Coturnix japonica: one gene and its partners. The protein of the gene in region 1 interacts with the protein of each later gene in a biochemical or structural test. Links are inferred from orthologs where the notes say so. Each region holds a gene or a part of one and is shown on either strand. Other genes may lie near its edges.

The links. The genes of interacting proteins can lie anywhere in the genome.
Region 2: the proteins of GSK3B (region 1) and SREBF1 form a complex in vitro, tested with the Homo sapiens proteins (2 studies listed by BioGRID, with this or other methods). The link is inferred for Coturnix japonica from reciprocal best matches to the Homo sapiens genes GSK3B and SREBF1.
Region 3: of the proteins of GSK3B (region 1) and EIF2B5, one has a biochemical effect on the other in vitro, tested with the Homo sapiens proteins (2 studies listed by BioGRID and IntAct). The link is inferred for Coturnix japonica from reciprocal best matches to the Homo sapiens genes GSK3B and EIF2B5.

Annotation. Positions count from the first base shown.
Region 1 is NC_029516.1:71,650,950-71,654,920, reverse strand, and holds the start of GSK3B (glycogen synthase kinase-3 beta), read right to left. Parts: upstream 2,801-3,971; 5' UTR 2,576-2,800; coding exon 2,488-2,575; intron 1-2,487. UniProt on the Homo sapiens protein: Constitutively active protein kinase that acts as a negative regulator in the hormonal control of glucose homeostasis, Wnt signaling and regulation of transcription factors and microtubules, by phosphorylating and inactivating glycogen synthase (GYS1 or GYS2), EIF2B, CTNNB1/beta-catenin, APC, AXIN1, DPYSL2/CRMP2, JUN, NFATC1/NFATC, MAPT/TAU and MACF1.
Region 2 is NC_029529.1:4,932,036-4,935,535, reverse strand, and holds the end of SREBF1 (sterol regulatory element-binding protein 1), read left to right. Parts: coding exon 1-144; intron 145-399; coding exon 400-568; intron 569-643; coding exon 644-752; intron 753-834; coding exon 835-947; intron 948-1,079; coding exon 1,080-1,212; intron 1,213-1,306; coding exon 1,307-1,469; intron 1,470-1,725; coding exon 1,726-1,911; intron 1,912-2,081; coding exon 2,082-2,193; intron 2,194-2,386; coding exon 2,387-2,610; 3' UTR 2,611-3,353; downstream 3,354-3,500.
Region 3 is NC_029524.1:13,792,502-13,796,001, forward strand, and holds part of EIF2B5 (translation initiation factor eIF-2B subunit epsilon), read left to right. Parts: intron 1-370; coding exon 371-461; intron 462-1,193; coding exon 1,194-1,317; intron 1,318-3,476; coding exon 3,477-3,500. UniProt on the Homo sapiens protein: Acts as a component of the translation initiation factor 2B (eIF2B) complex, which catalyzes the exchange of GDP for GTP on eukaryotic initiation factor 2 (eIF2) gamma subunit.

The sequences.
Region 1 (3,971 bases):
CAGAGGACAAGACCCTGATGGGAATCCCCTTCCATTCAAGGCTCAAGCTTCTCAACAACTTCCGAGCACAAAGTCTAAAAAGATGGAAAAGTCAATGGCCACTCCCCCCTTTCACAGAATCACAGAATGAGCCGGGTTGGAAGGGACCTCAAGGATCATGTAGTTCCAACCCCCCTGCCTGGCAGGGCCACCAAACATACACCTTTACTAGATCAGGTTGCCCAGGGCCCCGTCCAACCTGGCCTTGAACACCTCCAAGGACGGGGCATCCACAACCTCACTGGGCAGCCTGTTCCAGGGCCTAAGCCTGCCATATCCTGAGCAGAAGAGCAATCACCACACTCCAGCTCTCTAACACAAGGTCCAACACACCCTCCTCCATTCCTTCCTCAATGCTTCCACCTCGTCCTTTGAATCCTTTCAAAGGAATGGAACTACTGCCGGGATCAGCTAGAAGGTGGTCACCAAAGCAAGCGTGACCTCACCACCTCATTTCACCACCACCCCAGCCTTACAAAGGCGAGCAAAAAGGCTGGCATAGAGGATAGGCTTTGCTTCCTGGTGACCTGGAGAAGGTCTGAATCAAGATGGGGATACAACAGCTGCCTACAGGACTCAAAGAGCAGCAATCCATCCATTTCCATCTGCTTCACAATCTCAAGAGAACCAGTAAAATATCACCCTTTCTGGCAATCAGTGGCGCTGCTCTCTTACAAAGGAAAATAAGAAGTCGAAACTTCCTGCACTGTCTTACACGGATAGATTAAGTGAAAAATACGCCTGCCTTTCCCACACAGTCCTTGCATGCGGTTCTCTTGCTTTGTTCTGACATTTTTTTCCAGACAGCAGAAGGACCAGGAGCACATGACTAGAGCGACTGGGGAGGAGGGGCTGGGGGGGGGGGTTATCACAAGTGCGTGTGCTTTATGCTACGGCCTTTGTTTCTCCCTCCGTGTTCCACACTTGGGATCAAATCGTATTTGCAAACTTGTTAGTCTGCATCACTTAGCACCCGCTTCGAAGGCGAGCATCTGTCTGGTTTCTGACCTCAAACAAACAGGAAAGGAGCATCAATGACCTTTCAAGAATCGAGCCGTACAGCTCGAATAAGGCAAATTTAGCTTTGGAGCGTGGCAGGGCTAAGTGTGGCTATAGCGTTAAACAGCCACCTGCAGAAATACCCAGCGACAAAACCTGCTTCCTATTCCACGCTCACGTGAAATAAATCGATACATTAAAATGGAGTCTTAAATATTCCCCCTTCCCCCCTCCCCCCCCGTGTGAATTAAGATCTTTAATACATTTGAACCAGATCAAACACAACCCGTTTTAGCAGCATATAAGAGTATAAAGGGCACTCGGAGTGCAGCAGGCACCCTGATCATGCAGATACAAAGCAGCAGCTCCAGAACCTCAGCCCAATATTCTCCTCAAGGCTTCAACCGCAGCGGAAGTACATTTTGATGCAGAAAAACGTCAGAATTTCTCTCATCTGTCAAAAAACCCCCAGCCGGGCAGAGCCCCGGCTTGAAAAGCCTCCAACACCAAGAACCAAACCCGCACACAGCAGTGCCAGGTGTGACCACACGGGATATCAAACGGATCAATCAAACCTTAACGCCCATCAAGCGCTCCAGGTCCCATAAAGACCCAGCCCTCCATTTCCATAGGGGAAAAAAAAAAGGGGGGAATATTACTGAAAACAAAGCCCGTAGCATGAATCGGCAATGATCTGACTGTTAATAGGCACGTATTCAAAGAAACCTTCAGGAATTATTTGCCATTCAAGAGATATAGTTCATTGTAGGTGACCCGCAGCTGGGCCTTTCTCTGGTCGTACCGAGAAGCAATGCCCATTCTCCATTCATATAGTGTGGCCGAGCCCACCAGCTGCAATGCAAAGGGTGGGCACCCATCAAGCACCGATCATTTCCAGCATGCCCGTGTGGAATAAAGCACAGGCCTCGTTCTTCAAAATATCCCCGTTGAGAAAACCTGGGCAAGGCAGCTCGAAACAACCACTCGCAAGCCACAATGAGGATTTTCTTCCTCCCTCCCGTTGGGGATCATTAGCAGCGTATGATACACCCTTTGTAACCCCCTCGGACGGCCTTTGTAATAGCCCCCCGTTTTCTTCCGCCTTTAATAGGCCGGGCCGTGGGCTTCCCACACCTGATACAGAGCTCCCCCCCCACCTCTTCCATCTCCCTCCTTCAGAGGGCACAAAACACCTCATTGGGACCAATGTCACGGCCGTACCCGCGTGCCCGTCATTCATCCCCTCCTCCCCGAGGCAGGAGGCAGAACAGGGGTGCTGGTAACCCCGAGGAGCCCCCCGCGGAGGCGAAACGGCACGGCCGGCAGGGGCCGAGGGCAGGGCCGGGAGCGGCCTTTTTGTGTCCCCCGCAGGCCCGGCCGAGCTCGCGGCCCACCCGAGACGAACGCGAGGCAGGGCAGGAGGGCGGCAGGGAACGGCCCGATACTCACGGCTGACTTTCATGCTGCCGAAGGCCGAGGGCTGCTGCACCGGCTTGCAGCTCTCCGCGAAGGAGGTGGTCCTGGGCCGCCCGGACATGGTCTCCGGCTCCGGCTGCGTCCCGTCGGGCTGTCCGCCTCCTCCGCTCTCCTCGGGGCTGCTCGCGGGGCTGTGTGCTGCGGGCTCAGCGGGAGGCGAAGGGCGAGCTGTGCCACATGAACCGCCGGCCCCTTCCCCCCCGGGGAAGCCCCCTCCCCTCTCGCTCTCCCCGCCGGCCTTTCCTCGCGTCTCCTTTCTTCTCCGGCCTCGCTCCTCCCGGCGCTCACAGCGCCATCCTCCCGCAGTGCCGGTGGGTCCGAGAGCCGCCTCCTCCCAGCCGCAGCCCCCCGGGCCGGCCGCGAGCAGCGGGGCTGTGCTCGGTGCTAGGCCTCGCTGCCCCCACCCTCAGCCCAGTCACATGGGGCGGAGGCTCGCGGCCCGGCTCCTCCGATCCTGCCGCTCGGCTTCTCTCTTCTCCTTTTCCCCTTTATGTCTTTTGCCTTTTTTCTTTTTTTTTCTCTCTCTCTTTTCTTTTTCTCCTCGCCTCCTTCCTCTCTCTGCCTCCTGCCCTCTCCTCTCCTTCCCCCTTCGCCACTGAGGGAGGGAGGCGGCGGGACTACTTTTCCCCCGGCGGAGGGATCTCGGAGCTGCTGGATCCGCCGACGGGAGGCGATGCGGCCCCGCGCAACGGGATCCGGCGGCGGCGGCGGGATCCGCGGCGGGCGGAGCGGTGTGAAGCGGCGCGGTGTGCCCGGCTGGCTCGCAGTGTGTGTGTGTGTGTGCTCTCAGTGCGGCGCTGAGGCGGCTCCGGCGCGGCTCCTCATTGCTCCCGCAGGGGCAGCTGGCGGCGGCTCACGCTGGGCAGGCTGCAGTGCGGGCGGTGGCCGGCGGCGGCGGTGCGGGCCATGGCGGCGGCGTTGGCTCCCAGCTCGTCCTCAGCCGGCTTCAGAGCGCCGGCGGCTCTCGCTGTTGCTTCCCCGGGCGTCCGAGGCGCATGAGGAGCCGTCCGCCCGGCTGAAGCTTCCCGCCGCTCCCTTCTGGCGCCGGCTGCCTCTCGCCGGGCCCCCCTCCCCGTTTCTGTTGGTCGCTCCCTTTGTCCCCGCTGCTGCCTCCGCTGCGTGCCGGGCTCCCGCTGCTGCGCTCTGTGTGTGCGCCAAAGCCGCGCAGCCGCCTATGCCCGTCGCCGCCCTACGCTGCGGAACGGCCCTAGGCGCCTTCTGTGAATAGCCACCCGAAGCGCCCGACGCACTCGTTAGCCCCCAGCCCGAGGCCCTGACGGAAATACCCGAGCGTCGTCGGGACCAATCCCGAGGCGGTTACGGAAATGCCTGTGACGGATCGGAACCAATCGCGAAGCCCTTACGGACGCACCCGAATCCCCCCGAAGCCAGGCGGAGGCCCAATCGGAAGGCGCCGCCACCGCCCTAGCAGCGCAGTCGGGCGGCCAATAGGAAGA
Region 2 (3,500 bases), on another chromosome or scaffold:
CTGGCCATCAACCTGGCACTCAGTGCTGTCAACCTCGCCGAGTGCGCTGGCGACGCCGTCTCGGTGGCTGCGTTGGCTGAGATCTACGTGGTGGCCGCGCTGCGCATCAAGGCCAGCCTGCACCGCTGCTTCCACTTCCTGGCTGTGAGTCTGTCCCCCCTTGGTGTCCCCTCTGTCCCCCTCCTGGTGTCCTCTTTGCAGAGCCTGGTGTCACATCCTCCTTGCCCACCTTGGGTCCCTATATCATGGACTCTTACCCAGGCATATCTCCCTCCAGCGGCCCAACATCCTGCCCCCCTCAGCCTCCATGGGATCAGTGTCCTCAGCCCCATCCCTGTAGCCCAATGCTGCACATCCCCCTGCCCTCCCAGTTCCCACTGACCCTCGCTTTCCCTGCAGCGCCCCTTCCTCTGCAGTGCCCGCCGCGTGGCCCTGTCCCATGGTGGAGCTGTGCCCCCCGCCATGCAGTGGCTCTGCCACCCCTTGGGTCACCGCTTCTTTGTGGACGGGGACTGGGCCGTCAAGGGCGTCCCAAGGGAAACCATCTACAGCTCCGCCGGTGACCCAGGTATCCCCCAGAGCCCCAGAGCCCCACTTTGTGGCTGATGGTGGGGTGGGTGCTGACAGCTGCTCTGTGCCGCAGTGGACCCGTTGGCGCAGGTGACCCAGCTCTTCCGTGAGCACCTCCTGGAGAAAGCACTGTACTGCGTGGCCATGCCTGAACCCGGCCGTCCTGCTGCCCAGGGAGAGGGGTGAGTGTGGGGTGGGTACTGGGGGGGTTCCCCTTCCCTCTGCTTGTGGTGGGGATGGCCCCACTCACGTCCCTTCTACCAGAAGGCGCTTTTCGGATGCGTTGGAGTACCTTCAGCTGCTCAATGGCTGCTCCCATGCCAGCAGCATGCCTGGCCCTACGCCCTCCATCAGCTCCGGCCTGGCAGCAGTGACAGGTGAGGCCAACATCCCAAACCACGGGGTCTTCCCCCATGGAACCTGCTCCAGGGATCCATCCTGTTGGGTTGAATGGTCTTCAGAAGTCCCTTCCAACCAACCACTATGGTTCCGTGCTTCTGTCCCTGCAGGCACCGATCCTGTGTCCAAGTGGTGGGCATCCCTCATCGGCACCATCATTCACTGGCTGAAGGATGATGAGGAGGGGGCTGAGCGGCTCTACCCGCTGGTGGAAGCCATGCCCCGGGCACTGCAGAGCTCTGAGTGAGTGCTGGGGGCAGTGGGGCTGGCTGGGTGACAGCTTCTCGTGTCTGTTCCTTTGTGGGGTGACTTGATGCAACCCGCTGTCCTTGTGCAGGAAGCCCCTTCCCCGTGCTGCACTGCACTCCTTCAAGGCGGTCCGGGCCATGTTGAGCAAGCAGGACGGCAGCCAGGCCAGCCTGAGCCACTGTGAGAAGGCCAGCAGCTGCCTGCGAGAGAGCCTGGAGTTGTGCAGCCCCCCCAAGTGCACCATCGACAAGGTGAGGCCAGGGAGGGGACAACATGCAGCCCAGCTCGGGGGAGCGCCCGGCCCTCGCAGGAGGCGTCCCTGGCCCTCGCGGGGGTGCATTGTAGTTGCATTGCATGTGTCAGACTGGGAGTGCAATGCCCCTGCCATGCAGCCCGGCGGGGGTCCCGCACAGCGCCTGCCTGCCCGAGAGGGCCCTGGAGGCGCACCCCATCCGTCTGCCCACCCTCTGCTCACCCACTCCCCCATATCTGACCCCTTTCCCACAGGCGGTGCAGCTTTTACTGTGCGACCTGCTCCTGGTCACTCGCACCAACCTGTGGCAGCAGCAGATGAGTGCCAGCCAGCAGCTGCGTGGCACCTACCAGGCGTCTGCCCTGGAGCTCCGTGGCTTCCAGCAGGACCTCAGCAGCCTGCGGCGCCTGGCACAGACCCTTCGGCCCGCCATGCGCAGGGTGAGCCCCCTTGCAACCCATGCACAGTGCACTCCAACCTGCCTTCCTCATCCCACCCCATCCCACCCCATCCCATCCCACCCCATCCCATCCCATCCCATCCCATCCCATCCCGTCCCATCCCATCCCATCCTATCCTGTCCTATCCTGTCCTATCCTTCCCTTTCCAGGTGTTCCTGCATGAAGCCACTGCCCGGCTGATGGCCCGTGCCAGCCCCACGCGCACCCACCAGCTGCTGGACCGCAGCCTGCGGAGGAGAGGGGTGCAGGGCAGCAAGGCAGGTGGGTGAGGGGGGCAGGGACACCCCACCAGCTGCACCCCCATAGGGCTGGGGGGTGGGGGGTAGTTTCGGCGAGGGATCCATTCTGGGGTGGTCTAACTCATCACCACCGTGCTCACTGTGTCCCCAAGTGCCACATGTAGCACAGCACACGGGGGATGCTCAGTGTCCATCCCTTCTCTCTGTCCCCGCAGCCGGAGAGCCGGAGAGCCACCCCACGCCGCGGGAGCACGCCGAGGCGCTGCTGCTGGCCTGCTGCTACCTGCCCCCCAGCTTCCTCTCGGCCCCCGGGCAGCGCGTGGGGATGTTGGCTGAGGCCGCCCGCTCGCTGGAGAAGCTGGGGGACAGTCGGACACTGCACGACTGCCAGCAGATGATCATCAAGCTGGGCAGCGGCACCACCGTCACCACGGGCTAATGGGGGATGTGGGCACTTGCCACCTGTCCCCCCTCCCACCCCGCTCCGTGCAATACGGGTGGTGGGGACTCCCTATGGGATGGTGTCATGGTGCCGTGTCACCATCCGCTGTGGGTGCTGGGGGTACATCCCGGTGTGGGGCACCCTGGTGGCTTCTGTCCCTGTGCCCAGCACAGTTGGGTGACGGGACGTGGGGACCTCTAGTGACACTGTCACAGTATTGCACGGCACTGAGCTGCCTCCTCCCAGTGCCCGACACCCCCCTGCAAAACCCCAGCGCAAGTTTGGGGCCGTCCTCACCCCATTCTGCTGCGTGTCCCTGCCCCTCCCCGTGGGTCCCATAGCACGGGGTTAGTGGGGAGGGGAGGGACACCTCAGCACTGTCCCCATTAGGGGAGGGCAGGTGGGTTTGCCCCGCGGTGGCAGCTAAGATGGCACCATATGGTGTCCGTGGTAGGAAAGAGGGGCCCCCCCTGCCCTCCCCTAGCACTGCCCATTCCCCCCATTAAGAGCTGTACCCCCTGCAGCCCCAACCCCACGCGCTTTGGGAGAAGGGGTGGCTCTGGACTGGGAGGTGGAAGACTGGTGGGTGCCCCCGTCCCCTTGCTGCGCCCCTACTTTGTACATAGCTCCCCGCTGTGCCCCACCTCACCCTTACCCCCTCCCCTCCCTTGCCTTTTTAAACGGTATTTTCATAGCTGCAGAGTTTTGTACAGTGAATTAAAGCCAATTATTTATACTGTCGTGTGCTGGACTGGGGGCGAGGGGTCTGACACGTGGAGGGGGGGCACAGAACATAACCTATGGGTTCTGCCTTCACCCCAGCGTGAGGCTGCACAGGATGGGGAAGGGGGCAAGGGTGGCAGGGATGGGGACATTGGCTGCAGTAG
Region 3 (3,500 bases), on another chromosome or scaffold:
TTTTTCACCTGCAAAAATCTGCCTGAAGGAAATTAATAAATTCTAGCTTTGAATTCATGTCTTTAGGTGAGGGAATTTGAGGTTTTCCTGAATAGGAAAGGATTGATTGTAAACGTACAATAGAAACTGCTCTAAAAGATTGCGAAGATGAATAGATTTGTACTGGTTTGCCTGGTTAGATCAATGATACCTGTCAGATCTTTTTCTTTATTTGAATTATGCCACTATTTTAAAGTATCCTTGATGTGGATTTATGCAAACAAACGGTGAGCAAATAGATTTCTGTATCAGAAGACTTCCTTTGTTGAGACCATGTGAATGAATGTGTTTTTCCTTGACCTGTTGAACTACCTGTCCTTTCTTCTATTAGTTTTCCAGAATGAGGTTCTGGGTACATTACAGAGGGGTGAAGAAGAAAACATTTCCTGTGATAACCTAGTCTTGGAAATCAACTCTCTCAAGTGAGTGTCCCCTTATGAAGATACTGTGTTCTGAATAGTTGTGTTTGTCAGCAGATTGAGAAAGAGGAGAAATCACATGGATATTCACGTTTAATTATTGCATATAGATTATTGCAGAAGGAGAAATGCAGATCAGAGATTAACTCCCACCAACGTTCAGTCATAATGCATCTGTAGCTTCCTCAGTCATTAAGCTCTATTAGCCCCATTTCTGTAGGAGGAGGTGGAATTACTGTTTAGTAACTATGGACCAAAAGAGAGAGCAAGCCAATTCTTAGCACCGATTTCATGCAGGTTCATGTAGGAACTGCAGCTCTTTGCATTGCAGCGCTCAACCAGCTGCCTGCAGCTGAAACTGCTGCGGTGTGGCTTGTCTACTGCCTTTATACAGCAGCAAGTCTGGAACATATAATCAGAGTGCCTTTTACCTAATGTTTCTTGAATACGAACCTGTTTTCCTTCTTTTGCGCAACAGTATTCATACAGCACTCTAGTAAACATGAGGGTGCTGTCCCTGCTGCAGCTCGTTCCTCTGTGATAGCAGATTTTCAGGACTTTTGGTCTTACACAAGGCGGGGAGGGAAGGAGGGGAGTGTGACAACCTGGAAAAAAACAAAGAGCAGAAGATTTGACTTATGTCTTCCACTATGTCTCTGTGAGGAACCGTAATCTGCAAAGATAAGGTTCTGTGGATTGTTTGTTGGATGGTTTCTTTTGTCTTTTTCCTTGCAGGTATGCATATAACATCAGTCTGAATGAGATGATGCAGGTGCTCAGTAAAGTGATTCTGGAGTTCCCATTACATCAGCTGGATGCAAACCTGGACTCCCAGAAGTATTTCTCAGCATTACTTCCTGTGAGTGCTGCTCCATTTGACTCTTCTTGGGGCTTGTCTTCTGGTGTGTAGGAGTCTGCCTGAGGTACTTCCTGGTTGATAAGTCTTTTTTCTTAAGCCTGAAGCCACTTGAACTCCTCAGGTTTGTGAGCCTCTTTGTCTTCTAAAGAAGTAAAAATGAGCTGACATTTTTGTACCTGCTTGATAGAACTCTATTCAGACTGCAGGTGTGAGGAGCTCTGCTTCAGTACCTCTGATTATTGCCTATCTTCTGTGTGATAGTAGAATGTGTAATTTGTAGAAGAGATCAGAGAGGGACTGATAGAGTTGTCTTTATGGGGCTGCATTCCGGGAACCAGATTCCAATCAACCCTAAATCCTTTCCTTGGGGCAGCAGGGAGCTCTTGTCTCCCAATAGGCTCTTTCCCAAAGCACTGGAAAATTTAGAAATAAGGAAGTAGTGTGGGACCATGTCAAAGGCCCTACATAAGTCCAAATATATGACATCAGTTGCCCTTTCTTTGTCCACCAATGCTGTCACTCCATCATAGAAGGCCACCAGACTGATCAGGCATGATCTGCCCTTGGTGAAGCTGTGCTGGCTGTCTCTGGTTACTTGCACATCTCACATGCTCCTAAATTCCAGGAAGATCTGCTGCATAATCTTCCTAGGCATAGACGTGAGGCTCACAGTCTCCGAAAGCTCCTGTTTAAAGAATGGCCACCAAGGTTCTTAGAGCAGTGAACAACTTGCAGTTGCTTAGTTGGTAAGAAGTACAGTCCCTTAAGTTACTGATACTTACATCTTAAGAGTCCCAAGCACTGGCTTGGTGTGGGTTAGTGCATAGTGAAAACATAGCTGGAGTTTGTAGCTGTGCAACTAAAGTGGCCTCAGTCAGTAGTTCTATCAGGCTAAGATCTGCTTATAATGGCTTATGTATGGCAAAGTTATTTTGTGTGAGATGGGAATATTTGAATTGTGAGAGTCTCGAATATTGGAAGCCTAGTGAGCTTTGGTGAATTGAGTCGCATTTCTTACCCTCCTTGTAGCTCAGTTTTGGTGAGGAGATGTTAAAGGAAGGTGGGTTGTTTGTGCAATAGCAATGGTGGAGCAGTCTCAGACAGCTCAGATGGGGAAATTGTGGAAGTGCCATAGTTATGATGTATGATTTGACTTGAAACCACAGTATGGCTCCTGAATATGAAGCTCCTCAGTGTTGCAACAGTTTAAGACCATCAGGTAAAGGATATGCCTGTGGGTATTTTTCAGGTGAGGTGTAGAGGTCTGAGATATAGTTGCCCAATTTGAAGTTATGCCAGTTGTCTTGTTTGGCTCTTGTACATGTTGTAAAGCAGAGAAAGTACAGAAAACATGACCCTTCCCAGACTGTAGGTACACCTTGGGTGACTGTGGCTGAAGTTGCTGTGCTTCTGTTGTCACCAAAGCAGTATCAAGTAAAGTTATGTAGGTGAGGGTGTCTGAAAAGATCTAGGGGAGGCAATTGTAGCAATTCACCAAGCTCATGCTTGGGCTTCTCAAATCTGAGTATTAGTAATTGCTGAGCTGGCTGGTGTTTGCACTACTGCCCAGCAGCCAGCATCTATGGTGCATCTCTTCAGGTTTCTGGTAGGGATCCTTCCTCTCTGTAATATCATGCAAGGGTACACAGCATGGGATCGTGCATTCAGGGAACAAATGGATGTAACAATGAAAAATGCTTACATGGAAGCTGGTAATTTTCTTGGCACTCTCTTTTTCTTCTTTGTTGTTATTTGTTCTTCTGCTTCAAAAGAAAGTTCCACTAAAACATTAGCTGGTTTTTGGTGGGATGCTTGAGAGCATGTACAAACCGCTCTGTATTAGTCTGCTCTGAGGTGATGTGAAGTCTCAGTTAAACATCTTTATTGTGATAATCCAGTATTCCAGTCAGGGAATCAAAACCAAGAACACTAATATGTTCTCAAGGTTGTTTGGTAAAACCAGGTCTTGTTATTATATCTCATGTGAGCAGACATCTGTTTAATGGACAGAGGAGGGCAAGTGCATTAACTGGTTGACTGAAGAGTTTTGTAAAATGCTTTTCTGGGCCAGTTTCTCAGCACAGCACGGCTGAGAGGCTGGGTTGAGCACACAGATCCATCTCATAGCTCAGGAACACTTCTGTGCTTTCTCCCTGCAGCTGTTGAAGAACTGGACCCCGTTG